Pelodiscus sinensis: one gene and its partners. Each later gene encodes a partner of the first gene's protein in a complex. Links are inferred from orthologs where the notes say so. Each region holds a gene or a part of one and is shown on either strand. Other genes may lie near its edges. The genes, in order: MED23, MED13, MED20 and MED16.

Region 1 (7,025 bases):
GTGTACAAGGGGGCTGAAGCACACAAAATCTACTATCCTGGACCCCACTTAGCTCTGGTATATGAGGGGAACATGGGAGGTGTCTTTCTCCTTCTGAGTTGGGGGCCACATCAGTGAGGGTTTGTTTGTTTGTATTTTGCTTCTCACTTGTGTTTGGCCCTAGACTTATTTTTCTGTGGGACAGCAGCCCACAAACGGTTCCCCACCCCTGCTTTAGGCGTCTCTTAAAACTGATAAACTGAAGTATGGTTAGATTTAGGTCAGGCTTAGAATTACCATTAGTGCCAGTTTGTGAGTTCAAGGCAGGATTAACATGTGGACCATGCTGAGCACCAAATTAGATTTAGTGTGTGGCAGAATTAAAGACCAGGATTCTGGTTAGGGCTGGGTCAGGTTTGTTTTACTTCTCCCTCTGGCTAGAGAACTGAGAACGCATGCTGCAAGCCTTACTAAACATACAATGTTGCCATTGGGGTGAATAGCTGAGACTGGGCATGCACTAGGGATGTTAAATTTAGACTAATTGAATAGTTGATGGAATTTTCATCGACTATTCAAATAGTCGATAAGGGCGTCTCTGCCTTTGAAATGTAGCAAGAGCCTCACTGGGGCCAACAGGGGGACTCAAGTATTCCCCCGACTCAAGCTGGAGTCAGATGAAGGTAGGGAGGATAAGGTAGGGTGGTGGGGAAGGTCCTCCAGTGAGATAATGACAAAGGCGTCACCCTCTGGAGCCTGGGGATGTATTTTTGAATCCCCCTGGAGCTTTTGTACATTTCAAAAGCAGGGAGCACTGGGCCACAGGGGGACTTCTTGAGTCCCGCGCTGGCCCCATACTCTCCACAGCGCTTCTGCTTTTGAAATGTAGCAAGAGACTCCCAGTGGAGTTAGTGTTGGGGTAAACCGGCTTTTAAGCTGGCTCCCTCCAGCATCGGCTCCTGCTCCCCCGACTTGCTGCCTCTCTCTGATAAGCATATCCTTATTGGATGGTCAATACTTGCTTACATCCCTACCATGCACAATGCATTTCACAGGCTCTGTGAAACTCACTGAGATGGAAGAATTCACCCTCTCGTTACTTCTACTGTTACTCCCACTAGCGTAGCTATACTAATGTAAACTTTTGAAATATGTGGGGTTCGCTTGTATTAATTTATGACTTCTATATGCTCTATATGTTTGTCTGATTGTTGTAAGGAGGTTTATTGCAAGATAACAAGATTATTTAAGAAAACCCTGTTTGCTTCAGACATCTACTACTAATCCTTAAGGTCCAATGCATGAGCCATCCACTTCGATTACCAGACTAATTTATTAGGTTTTTTTTGTATTTCCAGGAGGCTCTCCAGACTTGTAAATATACAAGAACAAATATCCTAACTAGAAGAAGAACACTGCTGTAGCACCTTAGCGAAGATGCTATTACACAGACCTAAGCAACAGTAACTATGTGAAAGAAGTTGTGTGTACATAACACTCTCCATGGGGTTTGAGTGTATAAAAGCATCACTCCAGATGGTGGATTTTTTACACACCACAGGGCTTAGCATAAAATGGACCGGGGAGGGGGGGTGAGGGGAAATGTACCCACGACAGCTGTTGAGTTGTTTTGCAGTACGGTTTTCTCTTGCACCTTATTCCTACAAACAAGGCTCAGCAAGATTTTGGTTTAGGAAGGCAGCCTGGCCACCGTAGGCACCACTGCTCCCAAGCTCTGGAGAGGGTGCCCAGCAGTCAGTGTTTTTATATCCTGGGAAAATTCCAAAATTCTGGGAATTTTTGAGTATAATGTGTCAAAATGGGAAATTGGGAATTTTCTTGAAAATCTGTTAAATCCTGGGAAATTTTCAATAAAATTAAAATTTCTGTTCATTTTGTCGTTCCTTTGGTATAAAAATTTGCAGACCATTCAGATTTATCAAAAACTGCTCTCAGTTGGTCAATAGGGTTGCCTGTCAATTTTTAGAACTCATTGAACTTGATGCTAAAAATTGAACAGTGGAAAGCATTTATACTAAATTCAGGGAGTCAATGTTCAAAAAAATATCCCATTGAATAATATTTTGGGTGTTGCTTGTGATGGTGCAAATTTGATGATAGGAGCAAATAATTCCTTTTTCTCTAAACTTAGAGAGGATGTTCCAGATGTTGTTTTGTTGAGATGTATTTGCCATATGTCAGCCCTGATATCAAGTTCAGCTTCTACAGTTTTGCCTAATTTCGTAGAGCAGTTTATAACAAATATCACTAACTATCCAGCACATAGTGTTAAAAAGAAAGAAGAAATTGAGGAGATGGTTGAATATTTTCTCCATTTAAATTTATCTATGTTAAACTCAAGTCAAACAAGGTGGTTAGCTGTACACCCTTGTGTAAATAGAATATTAGTGCTGTGGGATGCCCTGTTTAACTATATACAACTTGAGTGTGTCGATCAAAAAAGACCAAAAGCAAAAGAAATAGACGATGCAATGTGTAATCCAGAACTTAAAGCCTACCTACTATTTTTGAAATATGTTTTGGATTACACGAACAAATTCAATGCTCTCTTTCAAAGCCAATCTCCACTCATTCATTGCATTAAACCAGTCAGTGAACCTTTTCAAAGTAATTGCAACAAATTACTTACAACCATATTTCCTAAAAGGTGACAATGAAAGTTAATGTGTCGCATCCCTCTATTTTTATCAAAATTAATGAAATGTATACTGGTCCAGAGTGTGAGGAGTCCTTAAAATGTATTGATCCTAGTGTAGCTATCAATGTAAGAAAAGTGATTCAGCATTATTACATCACTTGTTGTCAAGAAATGCAGCACAGGCTGCCACTTGACTCAGTTGTTTTCTCAGAGGTTGGATTTATAGATCCTAAAATTTGTCTTAGGATGTTGATGTAGATAAAGAAAAAAAAGATATCTCCAAACTTTGTGCAGTATTTAAGATACATGTGAACTCTGCTCAGAGTGAACTCAAAGCCTTGCCATTTTCTTTAGAATCAAATCAAACTGAATGTGTAAAGAATAAGCCTATTAATGAAATGTGGCATGAAATTTCTAAAACGAAACATTTTTCTGAAAAATGTATGTTTTCAAACATTTGTAAATTATCTCAAAAGGTTTTAGCATTGCCACATTCAAATGCAGCATGTGAGAATTTTTTCAATGGTTACAGACATTAAAACTAAAAGGAGTAACATGAAAACTAAAACACTTAATTCTAGTGTAATTATCAGCTCAGCTTTTAAAGCAAAAAAAATGTTCTAGTTTTGTAATTACAAAGAAGCATTTAAGTTTACATAATAAAAATAAGTATGAATATGGATATGCCAGAAAAACTGGTGGTCAGACTGATAAAAATATTAATGCTGGTGATGACATTTCTAGTGAGGAGTCAAGTCATGACTCAACTGAAAACTCATCGTGATAGTTAAATATTATGTATTAAATATTCTATTCATTTTATATGAAACGAAAATATTTTATATTTGACGACTTCCTTTATTTATCATATATAACTGAAATGTATACTGAAGTGTATACTGAAGTGTATACTGTACGGATTTTATCCTCCAGGAGTAAAATAATTAAACTGTTTTATTATTCTTTCATTGTATGAAATACAATCCATGAAATTAAGGATATTTGGATATATGAAAAATAATTATTTTTGGATGAAAAGTTCAGCTTTCATAAAATTATATTTTTAATTATAGAGAGCATCATAAAACCATCAAAATTATTGTCGTATATTTCGAGTTATTAATTATATATATATATATATATATATGTATATAAAATAAAACCAACGAATTAACGATACATAAAATAGCCTTTATAATATGTAAAAAATAATCTGGGAATTTTTCAGCAGATTTGGGACAGCGCTGGCCTGGGAAAAGTTGGCAACACGATATAGAAACGCTGCCAGCCGTGGGGCTTGCTGCCTAAGCCCTGCTGAGCCGGAGGGAGTAGAGGATGCGCCCCCGCCTGAGCACCAGAGAAGCCTGAGGCCTCGCCAGCCTGGGCCCGGCGGTGCCCGCCCCTGCAAAGGCAGAGCAGCGCTCGGCTTGTGCGCTGGGCGCGTCCAGCAGCAGCGGGGCGGGCCTCAGGCCGGGGAGCGAGGCGCGCGGAACTGCCCGGCCCGGGGAGCTGGTTCCCGGCGGGGCCGGATTCCGGGACGCACCTTCCGCCGGGGCCGCGGCCGCCTGAGCCAGAAGCCGCCGCCGCTGTTCGGCTCCTCAGCGCGGCCACCCCCAGGCGGGGCTGCGGGACCCGGGCCCGGTTCGGTGCCGCCGCCCGCAGAGAGTCGGGGGCCGCGGGGCGGGGCCATGGCCATCCCGATGGTGCCGATGGAGACCCAGCTGCAGAGCATCTTCGAGGAGGTGGTGGTGAGCCCCGGCCGGGCGGTCGTGGGGCCTCTGCGGGGAGGGGCTGGCTCGAGACTTCAGTGCTAAGTGGGGTGCGGGCCTGGCGCGCTTTGGCCGGGGGAGGGGAACACGGGCCCCGCTGTGCCGGCGTTAAGCTATTGAAGAGCCTCACGTGTCCCGCTAAGAACGGGCGGGCAGAGCGAGAGAAGAGTAAAGCGAAAGAGCCTGGGTCTCGGCTCCCTTCTTGCCTAACTGCTGTGGGGGGAGTGATAGGTGGGGCAGAAGCTGGTTTTAAGGAGGGATTTAAAAGAGGACAGCTGATGGCTTTGACAGCCAAAGTGGGTTGGGTTTGGGGGGTTGTTTTCATAAAGGGTAGCGTGGTGACGTGGGAGAAATCATGAGAATGCTTGAGCCAGAAGAGGGTGATCAAGGAGGCATCACTGGTCAAATGAAGACAGGGTTGGTGGGTCGGTCATTTAGTTATGAAGATGAGTACCACAAGTCTAAATGATAATCCTGAAAAGCAAAACCCAGGAGTTTTGTGTTTGATGTAGTGGAAGAGAGGGGAGCCAGTAGGCTACCAAGAGTAGAGAGATGTGGTTGGCCCTAGAGAGGTTAAATTTTGATTAATTAACTAATTGAATAGTCCGTGGGATTTCTATCTATTATTCCATTAAGTCAATAAGGACTAGCAGGCGTTCTGCCTTTGAAATGTACAAGAGTCCCAGCAGGCTGAGGCTGGGCTCCATGTGATGCTTGCGCTTTGAAATGTACAAGAACCCTTGCTTGAGCTCTTGTACAGTTTAAAGTGGAAGCGCCTGCGAGGAGCCCAGGGTCAGTGTGGAACCCCCCGCTGACTCCAGGCTCCATGCCGGCACTTACGCTTTCAAATGTACAAGAGCCCCAGCAGGGACTCGTGTACGTTTAAAAATTGGACCGCTCTCCATGCAGGCGCTTCCTCTTTTTTTTTTAAATGTACAGGAGCCCCAGTGGGGATTCTTGTACATTTCAAAGTTGGAACTCTGCTGCTGCACACCTGTCCCCTCCCATGGAGCTGGAGCGAACTGGCTTTTAAACCAGCTCTGCCCCCCCCTCCCCCCCCCACCTCTCTGTGAGTGGGGGAGCGGCTAGTTGACTAGTATGTTGACTATCCGATAAGCTTTTGCTTATAGGTTAGTCAACTAATGGATTAATCACATCCCTAGTTGGAGCTAGGAAAATAAGCGGATCCCTTTATTTTTAGTAGATTTAAGGAATGTGATGTGGCAGATGTCACAGTCAGAGATTGGGGTTATAACACTCAAAGTCTTGGATGACAATGGCCTCTACAAGAGATTTGGCAGTCTGATGCAAAAGGCTGAATCTTAAGTAGTAGTAGTAAGGCAGCAGTTCTCACAAGTTACTCTTCCTGGCAGCCACTTTGACTTGTTTTCCTAACATATTTAATTAAATTTTGGCAGAACAAATAAATATGAACATATACATGTCCAAATCCTTCTAACTTATTTGTGTAGAGTTCAAGGGATTTTTTTTTCTTTTTTTTTTTTTGGTTTACAAATTCAGTAATACAAATAATGTAGTTGTCTCTATTCTTCACTGGACCTAAACAGAATAGAAATACAAATAAAGTGCTTTGTACCATCCTATCTTTTTTGCCTGCTCCTTTTGCTCATTTCGGGGTGGTGGTGGTGGCGTTTGTTTAGATTTGCTAGCTAGCAAGTCATCTTCTGTGAAAAGTAGGGATGTGACCAAGTAAGCATCACCCTTAATAATTAAGGGTGATGCTTACCAGGTAATCGTTAACCATTAACAAGGAGCAGTCCCCATGGGTGGAAATTCAGGAGACTATCTGTTCCAAACCCTTGCTCAAAGCAGGGCCTCAACTAAATCATTCCAGCCAGGGATTTGTCAAGCCAGGCCTTAAAAACCTCTAAGGTTGGACATTCTATCACCTCCATATGCTTACCACTCTCCTAGAAAAGTAGTTTTTCCTAATAACCACCCTAGACTTCCCCCACTGCAGTTTGATCTGCTGCTTAGCCAGTTGGTAGCCGGTTGCTGCTTAGCCAGTCAGTAGCAGTGAATGGGATTTTTTTATCTTAAGTGCAGGACCCTGCATTTGTCCTAGCTGAACCTCATCAGATTTTTTTTTGGCCCAATCCTCCAATTTGTCTAGGTCACTCTGGACCCTATCCCTGCTTCCTGCGCATCTACCTCTCCCCCCCAGCTCAGTGTCATCCACAAATTTGCTGATGGTGCAATCCATCTCTTTATCCAGATTAATGAAGATGTTGAACAAAACTGGCCCCAAGATAGACATCTGGGGCACTCCACTTGATACTGGTTTCCAGATAGACATCAAGCTGTAAGATTTTAAAAAGCATAGACATACTTTAAAATTTTAATTTTAAATGTTTATTTGGGATGTTAAAATGGTTAAACGGTAGCACTTGGCTGGTTAACCATTTTAACCTAGTTCCTGTCCAGCCCTATCGCAGCTGCAGCTGGGGGTCCCACCACCCAGCCCAGTGGCTCGCGGTGACCAGGGCTTCTCCAGCCCAGCATGTCTGACCACCTCTGGAGTTATTGGCAGTGTTTATTTTTTAAAAATGTGTGTGTTAATTTTTTTTTAAATAATCTTTTTATATCTACCTTGCAAT
Region 2 (7,332 bases), on another chromosome or scaffold:
TCCAAAGGGCCCTCCTCCCACAACCCATCCCTGTCCCTAACTGCTATATTTACAAGAGCAGTAAGGGAATGAATCTCTTGGGTTAAAACATTCCAGGTTAGTTCTAATTAAAATAAATAAAATAAAATAAATATCCTGCTAACATATGCTGGCATACAAAAATAATATTTCTGTGAGAAGTAAACTTATGAAATTTTTTTCTGAAAAGCAAATCTGTACCTGCTCATTGACCTTTTATATTATAAACTTATAGTGTCCTTTCCTCCCACTCCTACTCAGGACCTGTAGCACTTAGACACTGAACACATCTATGGGCCCTAAAGTAATTTTCAGGGTCTGTGAAGTGTCAGGTTTCATAGCTTTACATATCTTTGATCTAATGAGTTGGGTTAGCAGGAAAACATATTGGCTATGTCTACACTACAGGGGTTTTGTGCAAAAACCTAGAGAGCATCCACACCTCAAGCATGTTGTGAGTTCTTGCGCAAAAAGTTGTGTGTGGATGCTCCACAGGGGTTTCTTGCGCAAAAAGAGCCTATCAGAAAAAGCACAGGTGTTCTGATGGCCATTCTGTGAATTACAATCAGAACTTTCTTGTGCAAGAGTGTCCATGCAGCGCGGACACTCTCTTGAGCAAAAGCACATCGCTTTTGCAATGCGCTTTTGATGTGTGAATATGCTTTTGTGCAAGAAGCGGAAGATCTCTTCCACGAAAAGCTTCTTGCACAAAAACCCTGCAGTGCAGACAAAGCCATTTTGATATAAATGTTATGTTAGCCAAAATATTTGAAGGTATCTTTTCTTTGCTTGAGCCACTTTTGCAAGTTTAAAATACAACCGCAACAAACTAGGGATGGTAAATATCAGTTAATTGAATAGTTGAGTTAACTTGTGAATTCTTATCTGGTAGTCGACTATTCTATAGTCTCTGGGGGCGGGGCCAGCAGCCAGTGTACTCTGGCCTCACTCCGGAGAAGACCCCTGCCACTCCACACTGCTGCCACTGTATCAGAGACAGCAGCGTGGGGTGCCAGGTGGGAGCAGGTCCATGAGGGGAGCCAGTTTAAAAACCAGCTTCCCTTGTGGACTGGCTGCCAATTGTTACGTGGTGCTGCCTTTACAAAGAGGCGGTGGCAGCAGCCCCTGTCTAGGGGGTGGTCTGTGCTCCCGGACCTGGCGTGAGCTGGAACTGAGCTGGGCTGCCTGCCCACCCAGCTCCTAATATTCTTTAAATGCAGAGTGTTTAAACGCAGTGGGGGTAGGTCCCAGACCCATCGCAAGCCAGGACTAAGCTGGGCTTCTGGCCAGCCTGATAAAAAATTTACTGGCAAGTATGGGGGCAGGAATGCATGTAGTCTATAGCACTAACCTATAAGCTTTTGCATATCGGTTAATTGACTACACTTTTACATCCCAATAACAAACATATATATGAAGTCACATAAAATAATAAAGCGTTAAAGTTTGTATTCTACCTGCAACCTAGTAAATGCTATATAATAGATCCACCATGATGGGGTTAATACAATGTTGACTACTTTTAAAAACTTTAAATTTTAAAGTTATTTTTTCAAATAAACGTTATATGACTAGAGTACTTCTACTTCTGAACAATTTCATCCTGCTTTTGCAGCTACATACAATCACCACCATAAGAACAAGCTTATTCTATCATACACACTGCATAATACTTTACTGAGAATGGAGCACAGTTCTGCATCAGGGTGGATTTGATGGCTATAGAATCATGGAATACATAGGTGTTATAAAAAACACTCTGTGTTTTCTAAACTTTAAGAGACAAAACCCACTCCTGGAGCACAACTAGCTGTTCTGTGGGGTGTGAGGAGGGGAGTAAGATATGTCTTTGGGTCCCACTCTGTTCTCATGGCTTACCTCTTGAGCATTACTGCTTAGCTAGCTTTAATTATTTTACCCTATCTTCTCAGTATATTAAAGAATAATTACATAAGTTTGTATAGTTTTAATTGTGCCTATTATATTTAAAGAACAACAAAAACATTATGCAAGTCGAAAGTCAGCACTTCCCAAGTTATTAATACAATCAAATGTCCTGTAATTTAAATTTGAAAGCAATCTGCTGCATTGCTTAATATCACATAAAGTAATCCGCTAATTATTCAACATGGAGATTTGTTGAGACATACATTATGCTGTAAACAGCAGCATTAGACTACTTACAGTTGTAGCCTCATGCATTTTGCTTTCATGCCAGTCCATGGTCCAAGACTTCTGCCAAGGGGGGTAGATTATGCAAGCTTGTGCTCAAATGAAATGACTGCCCCGTTCATTGAATGCTTTTGGTCCATTGTAGACTGAAGGTAATTTGGGAGTGGTGGGGATCAAGGCAGGGAGCTGAGAGTGTGGGGGGCTCGGCAGAGGGGCTTTTGGGGTTCAGTAATAAGGGCAGGGTGATATGGGGGGTGGTGCAGGAATCAGAACAAGTGGTCGGGGGTCAGAACATGGGCCTGGGAGGTTTAGGAGTGAGTGCAGGGGGAGTGAGGGTGTGCAGGGCTGCGGTCCCACACACTGATGATCAGGGAGCAAGAGGAAGTGTGCAACTTGTGTGAAGAACACCTCTGCCCCTCTCCTGGGCAGTCAAGAGTGGCAGGAAGGCACACAAACTGTGCATTTTTCCCCTCCCTACTTCATAATCAGAAGAGGAGGAAGAGCAGTGGGATCCAGGTAAGTGAGGCTGCAGGTCTAGGGACTGGGGATGTCCTGGACTGGCGGGGAGCACGTGCACACCCCCAGCCAGCCCCTTTCACCTGCCTGGCTACCTGCTTCTGAGCAAGGCAGTCTACTGGGGAGCCCGCCTGGGAGTGATGGCATTCAAGCACCCCAGCTGGCCGGCTTCTTCTCGCCAGAGCACTGTATCGGAGCGCACCGGCTTACTTTCACCTCTGGATTTGGGGTCGTCTGTGGCCATGGGCCTGCATGCATGGCATGTCCTGCATGCCCCCCTAGTTTTGCTTTTGCCTACTCTATAAGTGTAAACTCCAGTTTGCTCTTGTGCATTGACCTCTATCAGTATGTGCCAGGATTTGGAAAAAACTTGAGTTCTCCTTTCCTGGATTTAGGAGGAGTTGATGAGGCTTGGATTTTGGGCCCCATCCTTAGGTTACTGGCAGGTGCCACAGGTGGGTATGTTGATAATTCTTGAGTGATATATGGGAGGCTGGAATGTGAAGCCAATTGGCCTCTGTTCAAATGCTGCTGGATGGAAATATGGATTACTCCCGCAGGAGATTTAAACTAGCTCTTTGGGTGGGGATTTAAAGCCCAGAATGGTAGGACCTGGTAGGGAGACAGGTTTCAACTCTGTGTCCAATGTGAAGACTTGTGGTAAAGCGGGACTTTGATGTTTAAACTAATTGCAAAGGAGCAATGAGAAGTCCTGTGACACCTTAGGCATGGTCTTTGCTAAAGAGGAAAGTCAACTTAAGAGATGCAACTTCAGCTACGTTTATTATGTAGCTGGAGTGGAAGTATCTTAAACTGTGTTTTGGTGCTTGTCTATGCAGCAAGAGACATACAGGAGCAGATGTGCCCTTGAAGTCCCTTAGTCTTCATTAGGACTACCAGCACCGACGGGCATGCCCTCCCAGTTTGAATTAGCATGACCTGCTACTTCCAATCCTGGAAGATCAATTGTGGCAGTTTCCATCGTCTCCATAGTGTAGATGAGCCCCACGGGACTCACAAAAATATATAGCATCATGAACTTTTGTAGACAACACCCACTTCATCAGATGATGAGCTGGAGAGGAATAACATGCATAAGTAAAAGCGACGAGGAGTCCTGTGGCACCTTATAGACTAACTGAAGTGTAGGAGCATAAGCTTTCGTGGGCAAAGACCCACTTCGTCAGATGCATCGAAGTGGGTCTTTGCCCACGAAAGCTTATGCTCCTACACTTCAGTTAGTCTATAAGGTGCCACAGGACTCCTCGTCGCTTTTGCAGATTCAGACTAACACGGCTACCCCTCTGATGCATAAGTAAGTATTTTATAACAGGGGAAAAAAAGGAGGCACCTGTTAATTGTGGGCCCGCTGCTAATGAGGCGATGTAAAAATGAAGTGTTGAAGGAGCAGCTCATCCTCCCGCGCCACGCCACGGAGCCCCACTAGATGTCGCTCTCTCAACGAGCAGCGAGCCCCCTCTTGCGCAGCTCCCTAGCGCTGCCACAGCCCCCCACGGCCCGGCTGCGCCATTGCAGCCTCTTTCCCTGAACCTCGACGGCGGCCATCGCTGCTCCAGCCCACGTGACGCGGCGGCGGCCAATCAGCGCGCGGAAGGGGGGGCCCCCCTAGACTCTCGTCCCTGTGGCCGCCATTAAAGAAAAAGGGGCTCGGAATTAGACGGGAAAAGAATCTTCCCCCTCCCCCCTCGGCCGGGACGCGACATGGGGGCGACTCGCTGACGGGAGCCGGACGCTCAGGATGCCGCGGCCGGGCAGCCGCCGACAGAGACACCGCTGAGGGAGGAGGCCCGGCAGCAGGGGCTTCGGGGCACCGACTGCGGCCGCCGCGTCCCTCTGTCTCGGCGGCGGGGCCGGAGCGTGTGGCGTCGCCCCCCTCCCCCAGCTGAGGAGAAGCCGGGGTGCGGCGTCCCCGCCGGGGAGATCCGGGGTTGGCCCCCCCGCCCGCGGAGGCCCCCCCCCCCGTTGAGAGCGTTTGGGGTCCAGCCCGCCCTTTGGCCCCTCCCTCCCCAGCTAGGGAGCTCGCGGGGTGCAGCCCCCCCCGTCCCGAGAGACCTCTCATCGGAAGACTTGCGGGGTTCGCACCGGCGGAGGGACCTCCCCACCCCACGGCGAGTCGGTGGGGCTCGGAGCGCCACCCCTCCGGGGGGGGGGTCTGGTGGGGGTCAGCGCAACTTCGGGGTAGGCCCCTGCTGAGGAGAGACTTCGTGGGGCTCTGAAAAAAGCCGGGGCGCAGCCCCTGGGGAGCTCCCCCCGCAGCGCCTCGGAGGGGCGCCCTGGTGTGTCTCTCCCTTCCCTCCCCCAGCGAAGAATCTGCACGCACAACGGAGACTGTTGGGCTGGTTGCACCCTTCAGATAAGAGGATTTTTTTTGATGGGGGGTATGGTGACACGAAAACGTACCTCGCTGGACTGCTGCTGAGGGGGCTTTCGGGGTCCCCTTCTGAAGAACCCCCCTGGCGGATTTGGGGTACACCCCGGGAGAATTTTACCCCAGTCTTGGGAATCCTTAAAACAGCTGGTTTCTGAAACCCGAAGTTTTTGTCTGATCTAATCTTTAATTTATTTGGAATATATTTTGAGGGGGAGAAGAATCTGACACCCCCGCTTCTTCCTCTTCCCCTTCGGACTCTATCAACCCTCTACCACTCATCCCCCAGTCATTCCACTATTTGCCCCTCTCGTCTGGCGATTAAGAAAACGAGGAAGAGCAGGGAGGTGGCTGGATTAATTGCCCCTGTTGGATTATTTATTCCTCAACTCCCTCGTTTGGCGACTGAGATAAGAGGGAGGGGTCGTGAACCCATTTTACTTCCTGCCCCATTGGATTAATTACCCCACTTCTCTCCCCTTGTTGGATCAGTTACCCTATTCTCCCCCCTTGGTCTTCGATTGAGTAGACGAGAGGAGCAGGGAGGATTGTGTATCTTAAATCTCCCATCGTTGGATTATTGACCCCTTCCTTTTTTCTTCCCTTTCCTTGTTGTCTTTTCCCCCTGCTTTGGCAGAAGAGAAGGAAAGGTTCTGACTCTTGCCCATTTTACGCCGCTCTCCTTCTGAATATTTTACCTGACACTATTCTGTGTGTGTGTGTGGGGGTAAATTCCCTTATTTAATTGTATTATTTGTGCGTGTGTGTAACCTCCCTCCCCCCTTCCTTCTGTGTCTCTCCCTCCCCTCAGTCTCTCTCTCTGTCTGTCTCTTTCTTTCTTGTCGGAGGCTGTGGGATAATGGCGTGTGGGTTGTGGCTGTGAGGATGAGTTCCTGCTTCGTGCCGAACGGGGCCAGCCTGGAGGATTGCCATTCCAACCTATTCTGTCTGGTAAGTGTCCACCAGCTGCGGACACACTATACACAGAGGGAAAGAGTTTTTTTTGAGGGGGGGGGGGCGATGGGGGCGGGGGATGGAAGGGGTAGTGGAAGCAAAGCAGCCATTTTTAGTATAGCTTCTGCTGGATGAGTCCTCAGAGTAGGCCCTGCCTGGAACCAGCTAGCTTTTCTATGTCCCTCTGTTTTTCCTCCTCCTCCTCCCCACCCCCCTTTCCACCCACATCGTTGCCTCTATAATACCGTCTTTCCCTCTTTCTCTTGTCACTTTTGGCCAATATTACCCCAACACTTAGATTTTCCATTCTGTTTGCTTGCCCCCAACTTTTTTCTGCTTTCTATTAATTTTTTAGCTCTACCTTCTCACATTTTTATTTTAGTCCTGACAGAAGGTATGTAGCTCCACTACTCTCCTTTCCTCAGACAAACTTTGTATGCTTTCTCATCCCCCTTAGTGATGCCCCAGAAAAAATCTCAGCTAAATCCTCCCTTTTTCCTGGATTCTTAATGCTTTCTTTGTCTAATTTTTTCCGTAAGAAGCTGGTTTTGGTGATGATATTCTTACAAATGCATATGCCAGCCTATACTTGTGCACCATTTCACATCCTTTATTTTTTTAACTGTTACTTTTGACAGCTCCTAAAGCCAGCTTGTTTTGGGTTGGGTGATGGTGCATTTTTGTGTGTGGCTATGGGGATTGCTGACATCTCATTTTCCTTTTAATGCAAATTAGTTTGTATCAGGTTGATGGGTATTTATTATTGCAGAGACTGTTGTAAGTAAACCCTGTGTCTTACTGTTCTTGCTGTTGTATGTTTTGGGGGAGGGGAATCTGGGCAGCTTGAGCATGTCTGCAGGATACCAGTATGAAGGCTGCATCAGGCCTGCAGCTCAGTATGAGTAACATCTTGTAAGTCTTTCAAAGTACCAACTGTTGCAAATTCCTTAGCAACCCTGAGTCCAAAGCCTGATCTTCTAACTGTGGTGGGGGAGGACACCCCATTAGATAAACTGTGCAAATTGTTGTCATACCTGGGGGAGGAAAGACAGGAGATTAGAAGTATGTGGGAGAAGGGGGGTGGGGAATGGTGTTAAGCGCTAGGAACCCCCTGTACATGTTCATTTATGAGGCTGAATTCATTTGGCACCTCCTGCCATGTATCTTGAAGTCATTGTTGCATTTAACAAGGGTCAGGGTTTAAACCTTGTTTTTTGGTACAGTGCTGCTTTGTAAACAATAGTTAAAGTGTAGTGATTACCTGTATGACTATGAAGATAGAG
Region 3 (7,917 bases), on another chromosome or scaffold:
AAAGAGGCAGTGGAAACAGGGGTGATTTTATTGGAAAGCCTGGTGCACATTAACTAATCACACTGGAATTCCCTCTGTTCACAGGCTTCCACGCACCTCGGGGCTTCTGGACGCAAGAGAATTTTAAAAGCAGCTCGAATGTCCTGTCTTACCACCAGCTGAGCAGTAAAAACTCTCTCAACATAAGAGTGCAATTAACAGTCCCAGAGGTTTTTTTCCCCCCCGTATCTTGGATGTAATGACAGAAAGGATGGAAACCTCAGACCCTGCAGAAGGTGCCTCCTTATTGACCCTGACGCACTTTACAGAGACAGCTGTCATGTTCCGCCCCAGAGACGGCTGCATGTTAGCAGTGGGTGAAGATATTCTTCAGCACAAGCCATGAGGCTGAAGACACAAGCCATGACAACTGTGAATACTGGCCATGGGAACAGCTGAGCTTGGTTCAGTCTAGCTCCTGGCAGAGCTACAATGCGTTGAAGATGAATGCTGCTACACAAATGCGATTGCTCTTACTTCTCTGACACCCTTGTAGACCTCCAGCACCCGGGGGTCCAGCTGAGGCATGGGGTGGCCTGATATTTCTGACATCACGGTTTCCACCTCGGTCTGCTTCTCTGTAATCTTCTCCATGATGATATCAGCTAGCGTGAGCCTGGCAGATACAGGCGAAGGAATCAATGCAGAGCTGGTATTAGGCCTAGGACAGAATCAGCCTGTTCCTTGGCAAACCAACCTGCAAAGGTTGGTTACTGTGGAGGTCAAATTACAGAGGAGGTCAAGTTACAGTGGAGGAGGTCAAAGTTGGGTATTAGGAAAAACTATTTCCCTAGGAGGTTGGGGAAGCACTGGGATGGGTACCCTAGGGAGGTGGTGGAATCTCCATCCCTAAAGGTGTTTAAGTCTTGGCTTGACAAAGCCCTGGCTGGGTTGATTTAGTTGGGTTGGTCCTGCTGTGGGCAGGAGGCAGGACTCCATGACTCCTGAGGTCTCTGCCAGCCCTGGAATTCTATGAAAGGCAGCAGGGCCTAAGAACAAAGCATTGCAGTAGGAATCAGAGCAGGGAGGTTCCACAGCCCACTCTGCTACTGCCCTGCCGGGTGACCTTGGGAAAATCTCTCCCCCTTTGGTGCCTCTATTTCCACTCCCATCCTTTATCTGTCTTGTCTATGACGGGTATGTCTGTCTTTGGAATACAGGTACAGCACCAAGCACCTGATCTCAGCAGGGCCTCTAGGCACTGCAGCAGCAACAGGCAACCTAAGCTACTGAGCAGGCCGCAGGAGTGGCCCTCCATCTCAGTGGGCCGCAAGAGTGTCGTAACCAATATAGCCTCCCGGGATAGGGTCATTTTGCTCACTGCGCTTGTGTACCTGGAATTCGCAGGGCATGCCGAATGAACTGTAGCAGGGTTTTGATTGGTTGCAGAGCGAGCACACAGCTCTCGCAGCCAATGCTGTGTGCAACCAGCACACACCTCGCCTCACGTGCTCTTGTTTTATGAGTGTGTCACGTTTGCAATACCGGCAGGGGAAAAAAACCTGACGCCAACAGAAACTAGTGGGATCTGGCAACCCCGCGTATGGGCAATGGTAACAAAATATTTCATGGGTCATAGGCTGCCCACTGCTGCTCTCCAGCAATTGGAGTTACTATGGTTGGCCCCATGCATATGCCATGGAGAGGACATGCAGCATTATCTACCGTTTGGGCACAGGAGAGTCAGGAATCCTGAGTTTTATTCCTAATTCCGCCTCTGACTTGCCTTAAGAGGTTGGGCAAAAAACAATCCTCCCCTATGCCTCAGTTTCCCCAGCTGTGGAAGAGTGATGGACCTTCAACCAAACCCACCCTCTAGAATTCACGTAACCTCTTCAAAGCGCTGTTTTAAACTTCAATGCTATCCGAGTGCAGCGCAGTTGGGCCCAGTACAGAAACACTTACATCCCTTGGCTCAGGGGCAATGTTCCAATTGTTTCCATCTATGTGCAGAATAAGTTTTATTGCGTGCACCGTGCCATGTGCGGATGTGCACCACCAATAGAAAACGCAGGCTGGCTATAGGCCCTCTGCTAATCAGGGGGGCAGCCTTTTAATTTCTCGCGATCGGGGTTGCTTCCTACCTTAGCGGAGGATTCCTGTTCATGAACATCTCAATAGCTCTCTCATCCTCAGGGTCCACCGTCACCTCCTCACAGTACTCTCCCTTTCCCATGGATGCAGCCTTCTCCAGCGCGGGCCACTCATCATCCTCTGCGTCAGAATCCCCATCGCGCAATCCGGACCCTGAAATAAACCACATCCTGTTAAGGTTGGACAAATAAGGGTGCAGAGCCAGTAGCTGGGTGGCCAGTGAGATGAATTTACAGCAGCTCCTTTCTAATGTAGACAACCACCCACTATAGGAAGGCAGACCAGGGATACCCAGGGGCAGTCCATCTGAAGGGGCAATCAGAATTTCCATCCAGGCCCAAAACGTGCTTCTCCTCTGCCAATTGCTTAAACAACTGCTGTGGCCAGCCAATAATGTTGGAGCACAGATGTGCAATTAAATATTACGGTGCATATTTCAAGCTTTATTAATTAAAGAATTAAAAACGGTTTCAGGTCCTATATACGTGCATCCCCGCCCCGCCGCCTGTTTTTTAGGGGATTATAACCAGCATTCCCTGTAGCCTGTGCGCTTTTGCAGCTGCTCAGGTGGGATTCAAATGCCACTCAGCTGATTAGCAGAGCATCCACAGCTAGGTTGTGTGGTGCACATTCACATATACCTCGATGCCCATAAAAATGTATTTTGCACATGGATGGAAAAGATTAGAGGGTATAATGATTATGATGTGTGTGTTATACACACTGAACTTTATACTCAGACACAGACTCATCAGCTTTAATACAACTGCTCAGTTTTGCAAGATCACAGACTAGGGGCCATGCTGTAAAACGTATTTCGGTGACCAACTCCAATACCATTAAAAAGCTGGTCCTAAGTGACAAATAAACTGACTAATGCAATGTACTGTCATATGTACAATAAAAATATTATTTGGGACAGGAAATGAAGAACGTATTATCCAGGTGAAAGGATGGTTCACTGAATAGACTATGGCACTAAAACTCAAAAAACCTGGGTTCAGTTCCTAAGTCAGATTTCTTGTGTGACTTTGGGTAAGTCCCTAGATCTCTCTGTGCAACTGTAGACTCTATTTGTCTCTAGTATCTCCGAGGTGCTGGTGTAACAGAACCAAACCTGGAACCTTTGGAATTTAGTGTGTGAGCCTCTACAGCTTCAGTTATAAACCAGCTGGCTCTCAGCTGAGGCTGTAGAGGAAACGTACTCTTCTTCTCCATAAGGGGCTCAGTGCCACTCCATGGGACAGTGAGACACGCCCAATCGGTGTGTGGGTTATCACTGTAAGGATAAGATCCCTTCATGATAGAGATGTCAGATACTGTAGTGATGGGGGCAGTTTAAGGATACATACAATGGATACAAGGGGGGGATTTACGGAGGCAGGATGCCTTCCCATGAAAAAACTCAGACCAAGCTACAAGGTTAGCACACCTGTCCCTTTTGCTGTCTCATCCCAAAGGCAGCCGCCAGGGCAGCACAATGCCTCCTCCCACGACACCGGGACTTTTGTTTTAATCCGCTGTTCTTAGAGATCGCCCTGCGCTTCAATTCTCCGCCACAAACAACGGTAAGAGAATCAGCGCGGCTCCCCCACTCACCCAGCACCGTGGTCTTCTCCTTCTTCGCTTCGGTTCCCTTGCCTGGACAGTGCTCCGCCTCCAGCTCCTCCTGCTGGATCCGAGCCTGCTCCAGGATCCTCCGGGACAGCTTCTCATCCACGTACTGCTCCTCCTGCTCCCCACCGCCATGCTGCCCGCCCCTGCCTCGCCTCTTCACCCGCGTGGTGGGCCTCACCGAGTCCCCTTGTATAATCTGCTCGGCCAGGGGCAGGTTCCTGGCCGCCTCCCCTGCGCCCCTCCGCCGCTTGACCTTAGGCATAGTGATCCCCCAGCGCTCTCCCCGCAACCTGCGGGAAGTGCACGTGTGCGGCCCGACAGTGCGCGTCTTCGGAAGAGGGAGGGCGCATGCGCTCTTGGAACGTTGGGAGTCCTTCCGTTCCAAAATTGGCAACAGCGTAATGAACGCTTGTCTCCAGTCTCGGCTCTTAAAGGCGCAGGCGTGCTATTTTAGGGCGCCTTCTAGGAACCTCTCCCAAGGCAGAGCTTTCAATTCGAGGGAGTCCTTCGTGCGACAGCGAGTTCCATTTTCAGAAGCAGCAGAGAGAAGGGGGATTTATTGACACACGGACTGGAGCCACCTATTAATGGGCATAAATTGCAGCAAGGGAGGTTTAGGTTGGACATTAGGAAAAGCTTCCTAACTGTCAGGATGGTGAAACACTGGAATAAATTCTCTAGGGGGGTTGTAGAATCTCCATCACTGGAGATTTTTAAGAGCAGATTGCAGAAACATCTGTTATGGATAGTGCTTGGGCTTGCCATGAGGGCAGGGGACTGGACTGGATGACTTCTCAGGGTCCCTTCTAGTTTTAGTGTCTAGGATGCTATTAACTCCACTGAGATACATTAGCCTGGAACAACTTGGTGGCGGGGCAGGGGATATTGGTTACTTGGCTACATAATTCTTAGGGTCCTAGAATAGGATCAGCCCACACCAGAGTTCCATTGGGGCTCGTTAAAATCTTTTGCATCAGTGGTTAACATGCCCCTGGGCTCCTAAAACCTGATTTTACTCCAGCCCCTTCCTCCCCCCGTTTATATTTAGTGCCATCTGCTGCTCGCAGTCCTTGGGGACTAATCTGCCTCTAGGAGGAACTAGCTTTGTAATTCCCACCTACCGAGAGGCAGGGGGACTGGCCAGAGACTGGAATCCTCCCCTCTTGCTGATATCATTTCCTGCTGGGTGCTTGACACCGCAGAGGGGTTGGAGCTAGCGAGTGTGCTTCCTCCACGGAGAGATACACCCCTAGCCAAGTCACTGCTGCAAGTATATTTTTAAACCGAGATAGTATCAGCTCGCCCTCGCCGTCTTGCATAGGGACCGGTCCAGCCCGACGTGAAGATTTCAAGAAGCATGGGAGTTACCTGGTGAGACGTTCTATGTCGCGTGGTTAAAAAGGATACATGTGGTTGGGTCCTGATTGGCTTGCCATTAATGCCACGGCGTGGGGTTTGCAGACGGGGGGGTCTGCAAGGAGCAGCTCTGCTTCGGCAGCTTTGATCTAGCATTGCACCGAATTGCGGGAGAGGGAGGGCTGAGGATTTGCAGCAGGGTGAGCTCATTGCGCTGAGCCCTAAGAGGTTAAGTCCTTAGGAGCTGCTCTGTGGCAGGAGGAGCTGACAGATGCGTTTTCAGGCTGCATTGATTCTTGCGGCTTCTCGAGCCTGTGTTGCAGTGGCTGGGGCTTGTCTTACTGTTGGAGCCAGCACCACTATCCTGCCTCACTAGGGATGCTAAATATTGTGTAATTCAATAGTTGTGTAAGCACATGAAATCTTAGAAGTTACACGATTATTCGATCGCCCCTGGGGGCGGGGGTGGCAGCGGCAGCCAGTGCTCTCCCAGCCCCACACCTGGGGAACCCCCTACTACCTCAGGCTGCTGCCTCTGTATCAGAGGCAGCACCAGGGGATGGCAGGCGGGAACAAGTTCACAAGGGAAGCCAGTTAAAAAACAGCTCCCTGCGCAGACCGGCTAGCTGCAGCCCCATGCTGCTGCCTCTAAGACGTAGGTAGCAGCGTGGGATGGCAGTAGCCCCTGTCCGTGTAGGGTGGGGGGGGAGGTCTGAGTTCCCTGCAGACAGAGTCTGGTCTGCGACAGCAGGCCCTGTCCACGGGGAGCTTGGACCCTCCCCCCCAAAAAAGGACAGGAGCTGCTGATGCAGACCAGCCTCTGTCCACGGCAAGCCCAGGGTGCCATGGACGGAGCCAACTTCACAGCAACCTCCCCTGCCTCTCCCACCCCCGCATTACTGCCGCTGATAGAGGCAGCAGCGCCAGGGGGAGGCAGCTCCACAGAGCTGATGTTGGGGGGAACCTGCTTCTGGCTGGCCCCTCCTCTCTGCCTCTGTAGGAGGCAGCAAAGGGGGTCAGGTAGGTCCCCAGAGCCAGCACTCATGGGGAAGCTGCTTGAAAGCCTGCTCCCTGTGCGTATGGACTCCAACCTACCCCCCTCATCCTCTGCGCTGCATGTAGTCAACAAGATTAACCCATAAGTCCAGGCTTATTGGTTAATCGTGTAGTTGACTACGCATTGACATCCCTCATCGTCACATGTGGCCAGGTGGAAATAATGGGAGAAGGCACCCAGCAGAGAAGAACGTGGCTGAGGCCGGGTTCTTGCTCAGGCGTGTGAGGAAGATCAGAACAGTGATCCATCAAGCCCAGTGTCCTGTCTTCCAACAGTGGCCAATGCCAGGTGCCCAGAGGGAATAGGCAGAACAGGGAATCATCAGATAATCCCTCCCCTGTTGCCCGTTCCCAGCTTCTGACAAATGGAGCATGATTTTGCATCCCTGTCCGTCCTCACTAATAGCTATTGATGGACTTATCCTCTATGAACTTAGCTAGTTCTTTAGAACATGTTATAGACTTCCCCTTGACAACATCCTCTGGCAGGGAGTTCCACAGGTTGACTGGGTGTTGTCTGAAGAGAGACACCGCTGCTCAGGGAATGCAAAGAGGGAGGTGGGTTATGTTCTGACAGGGATCTAGCTAGGGCATGTTACCGACACGCTATGTCAATACTGCAGCTCGTAAAATAAACTAAAGGGATAACTGGTATTGCAGTCGGTATCAGGGGCACGGAGGGTATGTATTTAAAAACAGGAGACCAAGGATTTATACTACTTAAGCGGGAAACAGAATTGCTCCATGGATAATATGGGATCAAATGTGCTCTTGGTTATCTGGGTCTATCACTGTAACGGCAAAAATCTTGTGTAAAACAGATTCTTTTGTGTGATGCTCAGTTTATACGTTTATAGGGTGACAAGGAAAATTTACCTTTACAGTGTCCCGTCTGTCCTGGTATTTGGCACCCTTTGCTGTGGTACTGTGTGTGGTGCCAATACTTGCTGTGTCTGCCTTAGGGGGTCTCTTAAATGTCTGTTAACCATGGGATGTTTGAGCGGCCTAGAAGCCATATGCAAAGCTGTTTTATCCTTTTCTGGGTGTTCTAGCTTCCTTTGCAGGCATGGGTTCAAATCCTGCTTCTGAACGGTCTCTTTAATGATCAGCAGTCTTTCTAAAAGCAATGCTATAGCTCAAATAGAAGTATATGGGTTTGATGGAAGAATTACTCTATCATACTCTGTGCTATGTTAGGTAGGAGGTCAGACTGGACTATCACAATGGTCTCTCTTGGCCTTGAAGTGCATGAGTCAAGTATGCAAGTACCCTACAGATCCAGCAACTCATATGTTGGCTTCTGATCTCTATTATAGACTTTATAAGTACATTGACTGCTGAATTGGATTCTGACTTGGTTACCATGTCTTTCTATTAGGGATATTAAAAGGTAGTTAACTAGGTAACTGTGTAGCCGTTAACATTTTTTACCCGTTACACACTGTGGGCTCTGCAGTACTAAGTTTATACTGCAGAGCAGGGGTGGTCAACCCGTTACAGACAAAGAACCAAAATAGTGGTGGATACAGTGCAAAGAGCCAAGGGAAAGAAGTTGTTGGGGGGGGGGGGAACCGCTGCCCCTTTAACAGCCGTCGGCCGGAAAGTTGTTGAACCAAAACCCCCCCAAAAAACCCCAACGCTGCCCCTTTAAGAGCTGCACGTGGCCCAGACAGGCTTCTGTTGGCCGCAGCGTCAGCTCTCGCTGTCCCAAGCGGCACCCTGACCAGACAAGGAAAAAGGTCAGAGCACGGGAAT
Region 4 (6,910 bases), on another chromosome or scaffold:
TGCGGCGAAAAGGACAATAAATCGCAGTGCTCCGGAGTCGCCTGTCTGCGCATGGGTCACGTAGAGCGATCGCTCGTCCGAGCCGGGCGGGAGGGTCGGGGATGTGGGACGCTCGGGCTGCGTCCACACTGGCGTTTTCGTCAGTCGGCTGGGAGAAAACCGCCCCACAGCCCCTTGCCCATCTGCTGGGAAACGCCCTGGTGTGGACAGCGCTGCCAGCGGGAGACGCGCCGCCGCCTCGCCGTGGGGCAGTTGGACAGTCCCTGCGGGAGAGCTGGGTCTGGACAGCTGGGCCTCTGTGGGGGGCAAAGACACAGCTTCATGGAATAGCCTATTGCAGGAAGACGAGAGGCAATTAACACGTGAGTCATCCTCGCGGGGAGAAACTGCAGGCGGCTGCTGTTGCCTTCGCCAATCTTCCATGTAGATTAGGAAGAAATTCTGCCAGCTGCCGCCCCCCGCTGAGTTTAAATCCACTTAGCGCCATGGGTGTCGGGAACCTGACATAGGCATGAATTATGTTTTCAATCCATCTCCCATTCAAAAGCTTTGTCCTCCATAATAGCTGAGTTCTGAATGTACCGGGCCCAGCCCACCTGGTTTTCGTAAAGGTGGGGAGGGCGCAATTTTGAAAGGGACTTTTCTCCCTTTTAACAGTCAGTCCGTGTCAGCTCACAGGTTCGACTAGCTGGCCATATAGAGGTGAAACGAGATTATAAGCCAGGGGAGAGCTGTGGGGCCCCTCCTAAATCGGGCGAAACTGACGTCTCCCTGTAGCACGCGGCCTTTGGGTTTTGAGAGAACGATGCCGGCTGGGAGGAGGTTCCTCGCTACCGTTCAGCGCTGGCTGTGCCCGGTCTGTCCCGGTGCCGAAGGACTGTCCCCGTCCCAAACGGCTTGTAACTTGGAGGGTGACCTGACAGGCCCATGAAGCAAACACAGGCTGAGGTGAAGGAGCCGGGGTACCACATAGGGCTACGTCTGCACTGCAGGCTTCTTGCACCAGAGCTGTTTTGTGGAAGAATTCTTGTGCAAAAAATCATCCCCAAGAGCACGTCCGCACGGCCATGTGCTTTTGCACAAGAGCGTCCGTGGCAGTGTGGACGCTCTGTTGCGCAAGAAAGCTCTGCTGGCCAATTTAACCAGAAAGTCATGTTGCCTGTCTACACCTCCTTGTGCAAGAGGGCTTATTCCTCCTGGGGAGAGGAGTAACTCTTCTGTTTTCCGACGCTCTACTGTAAATTTACTTGTGCAAGAACACGCGTGCAGTGTAGACAGCCGGCAAGTTTTTGCGCAAGAACTGCTGTCCTTGCACCAGAAGTGGGCACTGTAGACACAGCCAGGATGCTGCGATTCTTAGCCGATGGAAAACAGCCCTTGCCCCCTCCCTGGTTAAAGTCCTTGTGCAGAGTGTTAGACACAAGGTGGCTCCGATTCAGCTGAACCCTCTGTGTGCCCAAGGTCTCTGGGCCGGCTCCCGTACATTATTTGTACCGGGCTGATCTGTGGGGGCCCCCCCGGTGAACAGAGAAGAGCCAGACCCGAAGGCTGGAGAGGCAAACCTGCTGTCCTTGTGCCAGAAGCGTGCAATGTAGACACAGCTTTTGATTGGATGTTTATTGGGGCTCACTTCCAACAAACACGAATCCCATTTCCTCTTCCCTTCGTTTCCCACCCCCTTCCTGCTTCCCCCCCAAACACAGTAATATTTGCAGCTGTCCCGTCCCCGTTCTCCTGAAATGTAACTCTCCAAGCCTGGCAATTGCATCCCAGCGCCTGGAGTGATTTACACCCAGCAAAATCAATTCTAGCGGAGATGGAAACGTTTCAGAGCCAGACAGATAGAGGGGGGGAGGGGGTGCATAGCGACAAACGGCTTCCACACCCCAGCCCGCAAGATCTCGACCCAGACTCCGGTTTTATGCCCTGTAGGAACTCGCCTGCGCTCTGGAGGCCGCAAGAGGCAGGCCTGCTGTGGTAACACCCCCAGCCCCCCTTATCGCAGCCCCCAGGGAGCAGCAGGGGCTGCTGAGTGTCAGTGGCTCCAGCTCTTCTCTTGGGGGGTCCCAGAGCTCAGCATCCTGTGGGAGCAGCTGCCCAGCCGGGAAGCAGCCCCCGAGCCCTGGGAACCTGTCGCCTGCCAGCCGCAGGTGTCTAGCTGCAGCATAGATACGCGCCTGGCGGCCTCCTGTGGGGAGCCCAGCCCCCCCCGTTCCCGGCCTGGAGTCTGGCCCTGGCTCGGGCACTGAAGATCCAGGCCTGCTCCTCTTCTGCATTGTGGGTTTTCCTGGGCCACTCCCTACTCGTCCTCTACGTCCCCCCGGGGTCCCTCGTCTCCCCTGGCCTCCTCGAGAGCCCCCGGCCCTGCCTCTCCAGCCCTGGCCCCCGCTGGGTTTTATTGCCACTTAGCCTGGCTCATTCCCAGCGCTGCAGCTGCCTGCTGTGTGTTACCGGTGGTGCCTGATTCCCCTGGGCAGGGCTGGGATCCAGCTGGCTCCCCCCTCCTCCCCGTCTCCAGCCTCCTTGGGATGCTGCTGTTCCCCTGGGGCAGACGGCCTGGAGTTTCCCTTATTTATCAGGCTAAGATCCATCCTTCCCTGCCCCCACGTTGTGCAGCCTCTCGGCGCCCCACCAGCCCCAGGCATGGCCCCCGGGAGGTGACTGCGGAGAGCAGTGGCGGGCAGGGGCAGCAGCTCCACCAGCTGGAAGCAGCAGAAGGCTATTATCCTCCTGGGGAGCGGCAGCTGGAGCGATTGGAGCGTGGGGGAGTCAGTCGAGCCGGGGGTGGGGGGCGCCCAAGGGCGACACAGCGGGGGGGGAGGGGGATGCAGATGAGACTGGGGCCTGGTTACACCCGCAGCCCATCTGCCCCCAACGGGCGCTGTCAGCCACGGGGGCTGCAACGAGCCCCGTGGGCAAACAGCCCGGCGCCCGCCGGGGCCACGAGCGGCTCCCCAGCTGTTCTACCAGTCGGCAGGGCCGCTCTCCCCATCTCTCAAATCACAAGTTACTGGGGCTTATTTGCATCTATGCAAATGCCAGGATTCTGGAGTTCTTTGTCAGCTCACCCATAGAAAACATGTTGGGGTGTGTTGGGCTCTATCTAAATCTCAAGAAACTGACGCACATGAGATTGGGGGGTGAAGACAGATCTTGGGGTAAATTTGGATCCTGGGGGAACCATAATATTCGAGAAAATTATATGCATCTGACGAAGTGGGTCTTTGCCCACGAAAGCTCATGCTCCTACACTTCAGTTAGTCTATCAGGTGCCACAGGACTCCTCGTCGCTTTTGCAGATTCAGACTAACACGGCTCCCCCTCTGATACTTAATATTCGAGGATTCCTTGGGTGCAAAGAGAGACTTTAAAGCCGCTGCAGAGGCAGTCAGTGAACTGGAGCATCACAAGAGGAGGCCTTGCAGGCAAGAAAAATATGGAACGCTTCACGAATTTGCGTGTCATCCTTGCGCAGGGGCCATGCTAATCTTCTCTGTATCGTTCCAATTTTAGTATATGTGCTGCCGAAGCGAGCACAAATGCTAAAGCCACCTGAGTAGTATTTATACCTCTACCTTTTAAAATTATTTTAGCTGAGGGTGAGCAAACTATTTTATCACTGTATTTATATAATGAATCTAGTTAGCTCAATTGATCCTTATCATCGTATTGATTTTCTAATAATTTTTTTCATTTATGTTCACTGATCTAGTCGAAATACTCTGCCCCCACTCCGCTTCGGGGCCCTGGAGCATTATGGGTAGCCGCATATGGAAATCACCCCAGCAGCGCCCTCAGCTGCAGAAGGCCCTCCCTTTGGGGCTGCCCCGTTCAGTGCCTGAGCGAATTGCGCCCGGACGGCTCCGAGCCTGCCTCCCGCCCTGGCACACGGGCCGGCAGGGCGGGACTCCCCTCCCCCGGGCTTCGGAGGCGAGTCCGGGCTGCCGCCTGAGCGCGGGGGTTTGTTCAGGCGCGTTTGGGGCAGCCCGGGCCGGGGGCCTTGCTCGGCAGGCGGGAGGCGGCGCGCGGGGATGCGGGGAGCGCGGTGAGTCGGGGACGCGGCCACTGCCCGTGGGGGGGGGGCGGGGTCGGTACCAGGCTGGGGGGAGGGGCGGGGAGGGGTCGGTACCATGGCGGGGGGGGTAATTAACTCGGGGGGGGTAATTAACTGGCTGGGGGAGGGGGGATAATTAACTGGCTGGGGGAGGGGGGATAATTAACTCGGGGGGGGTAATTAACTGGCTGGGGGAGGGGGGATAATTAACTGGCTGGGGGAGGGGGGATAATTAACTCGGGGGGGGGTAATTAACTCTGGCTGGGGGAGGGGGGATAATTAACTGGCTGGGGGAGGGGGATAATTAACTTGGCTCGGAGGGAGGGGGTAATTAACTCTGGCTGGGGGAGGGGGGATAATTAACTCGGGGGGGGTAATTAACTCTGGCTGGGGGAGGGGGGATAATTAACTGGCTGGGGGAGGGGGATAATTAACTTGGCTCGGAGGGAGGGGGTAATTAACTCTGGCTGGGGGAGGGGGGATAATTAACTCGGGGGAGGGGGGATAATTAACTTGGCTCGGAGGGAGGGGGTAATTAACTCTGGCTGGGGGAGGGGGGATAATTAACTCTGGCTGGGGGAGGGGGGATAATTAACTGGCTGGGGGAGGGGGATAATTAACTTGGCTCGGAGGGAGGGGGTAATTAACTCTGGCTGGGGGAGGGGGGATAATTAACTCTGGCTGGGGGAGGGGGTAATTACCCATCCTTGGGGAGGATAATTACTATTTTTGCCTCTGGGGAAAGCAAGGCCCCCCCCCCCCCCACATCTGGGAAGAGGTGGCCCCTCCCCCCTCGCCCAGGTCTGGCTGTGCTAGGTGGCGGGGGCTCGGGCTCCCACTCACTGCAGCTCGGTGGTGCTGGGGTGATCGGGGCGGAAGACCCTGGCTACCCGCACGGTTGGGAGTGGAGGGATTCCAGCGGCCCCAGGGGGCTGCCCTTGGTAGCAGGGGTTCATGGGTGCGGGGAGAACACACTCGCAGCCGCATGGTAGCCCTGCCAGGGACAGACGGCATACCTCTGGGGGACCCCCTTTGACCCTCGCAGATCGCTTAAGGGAAAAAGAGGTTTTCTAAAAGCGTCTCAGACTCCTCGTCCACTTTCATCCATGGCTAGTAGCCATGTTTCCACTCCAGAGGCTGTACAGATACTGCCCCTTTGCCCCATAGGGCATTTCCGGGGTAAGATCAGGGATTGTTAAACAGAAGCTCAGAGGGAGTTATTATCTCGTGTGCTTATTGGACCTATATGTAAGGAAGTGACCATCCAGCTCCCCACGTGGGCTCTTGTTTTATCTTCACCGCGTTCTTCCCTCAAATAGAACGATTTCATTCGTGGCCTAGGGCGATAGGTGCCCACAAGGAAAATGAGCAATCTGGGACTTGGATTGGAGGTTTGGTACTCTTGTACCTGGGAAGAGGTGGAATAATGGATAATCTGTATGATTACGTTCTCCCCACTTTAGAGGAAAACTTAACCTTTAAAGCAGGTGCTCGTGGCTGTAAAGATTATGCACTCTATGGCTTTCCTTTCTCCCCAGATGCCTCAGTATGGGCTAAGCCTACTTAAAGAAATCTTAATTAATGGTGCTCAGAATCTGTATGAGACACATTCCATTTGGCTTACATTTAGGGACAAAGGATGAGTTATGGAGATTGGGAGGCTCTTAGGTGGGAGATCTTGATAGGAATGAGGTCCTGGGAGAATGGAAAGGATGGCAGGGAGCGGAGTTAATGCAAAGGAGAGCAGAGGCAATGAAGGGGAATCCAGCTATCACAGGAGTTTTTAAAAGGGTAAGGTTTAAAACTGTAGCCAGGATGGGAATTGTCTACTCTGACTGACAATGTAAGTCAGTGCATCCTATTTTTAATGGGGATTGCACAAAGCAGCAAATTTCCTCTGAAAAGTGAAAATGGCTGCAGCTGTGTTTAAAGGGGATCTTTGACAATGTACCTAGGTCCTTTGAGCGTGTGACTGTACAATAGACGTTTCTCCTATTCAGAGATTAGTCATCTGTTTCTTTCCTATGCACAGAAATCTATGAATAGGCTTTCAACAGGCAAGTGGCGTCTTGAAGGTCTTCCAGGGCACAATGGATTTGGCATATGTCTGTGAGTGGGAGAAAAGGCCCAAAAGCAACCATTGTCCTTCCATCCCGTTGGTGTGCGCGTGGTCCTGCAGGAACTTGATTGCCTTCACAACTGACCTCAAAAACGAGGAGGAAAAAGGTACCCGTCCTCCCATTTCTGTGTCTTGTGATTTGTATCTGTTCCCCCTCTCAACACCTATGCACAACCCCGAGGTGGAAACCCCCCTGCTCTAGGCTATTCTTGCAGTAGAAAATAGATCTTCGATTCGTCAGAGCAGAGACTTGATTTCTTGGACTTGTAAATCAGCACATGTTTATGGCCCTATAAAAAATAACTGCAGCCTTCACTGACGACCTGCAATAAAAAATGGAATGTTTTAAAAATAAACTCTACTGCCAATTCTTGACTGGACTCGGGTCTCTCCCTGCCTAGATCTTACCCACATGATCCATATCTTGGACACGGAGCATCCGTGGGATGTTTATTCCATTAACTCTGGGCACATTGAAATCATCACCTGCTTGGAATGGGATCAGTCAGGTAAACTACTTTTTATAGTTGCTTTTTTGAGGGGGCTAGGGAGGACTTCATAAAATTGCTCACAGTGTGATGGGGCATAGAGAGGAGATTGTGAAGGTCTTTCTCTTTTAGATTCCTGCTGTCTGAAATCTTTGGAAGTGCCCATTGTGTAATATCTGCGCTGCCTAACTCTGGCTGATCTGCATTGTGAGGTCCATAATGGATTTCAGAGAGCACTGTGCTTCTCAT

The links.
Region 2: MED23 (region 1) and MED13 share a complex: the UniProt entries of both Homo sapiens proteins name them as parts of the mediator complex. The link is inferred for Pelodiscus sinensis from reciprocal best matches to the Homo sapiens genes MED23 and MED13.
Region 3: MED23 (region 1) and MED20 share a complex: the UniProt entries of both Homo sapiens proteins name them as parts of the mediator complex. The link is inferred for Pelodiscus sinensis from reciprocal best matches to the Homo sapiens genes MED23 and MED20.
Region 4: MED23 (region 1) and MED16 share a complex: the UniProt entries of both Homo sapiens proteins name them as parts of the mediator complex. The link is inferred for Pelodiscus sinensis from reciprocal best matches to the Homo sapiens genes MED23 and MED16.

What each region holds. Positions count from the first base shown.
Region 1 is NC_134713.1:93,693,533-93,700,557, reverse strand, and holds the start of MED23 (mediator of RNA polymerase II transcription subunit 23), read left to right. Parts: upstream 1-4,021; 5' UTR 4,022-4,326; coding exon 4,327-4,386; intron 4,387-7,025. UniProt on the Homo sapiens protein: Required for transcriptional activation subsequent to the assembly of the pre-initiation complex. Component of the Mediator complex, a coactivator involved in the regulated transcription of nearly all RNA polymerase II-dependent genes.
Region 2 is NC_134731.1:5,974,065-5,981,396, forward strand, and holds the start of MED13 (mediator of RNA polymerase II transcription subunit 13), read left to right. Parts: upstream 1-4,312; 5' UTR 4,313-5,980; coding exon 5,981-6,046; intron 6,047-7,332. UniProt on the Homo sapiens protein: Component of the Mediator complex, a coactivator involved in the regulated transcription of nearly all RNA polymerase II-dependent genes.
Region 3 is NC_134737.1:9,513,364-9,521,280, forward strand, and holds the start of MED20 (mediator of RNA polymerase II transcription subunit 20), read left to right. Parts: upstream 1-4,914; 5' UTR 4,915-5,107; coding exon 5,108-5,121; intron 5,122-7,917. Other genes in the region: BYSL (bystin), read right to left, coding at 517-655, 2,124-2,286, 3,733-4,012. UniProt on the Homo sapiens protein: Component of the Mediator complex, a coactivator involved in the regulated transcription of nearly all RNA polymerase II-dependent genes.
Region 4 is NC_134729.1:16,242,601-16,249,510, reverse strand, and holds the start of MED16 (mediator of RNA polymerase II transcription subunit 16), read left to right. Parts: upstream 1-3,901; 5' UTR 3,902-4,045; intron 4,046-4,835; exon of another isoform or gene 4,836-4,855; intron 4,856-4,862; exon of another isoform or gene 4,863-5,845; intron 5,846-6,086; 5' UTR 6,087-6,144; coding exon 6,145-6,280; intron 6,281-6,574; coding exon 6,575-6,682; intron 6,683-6,910. UniProt on the Homo sapiens protein: Component of the Mediator complex, a coactivator involved in the regulated transcription of nearly all RNA polymerase II-dependent genes.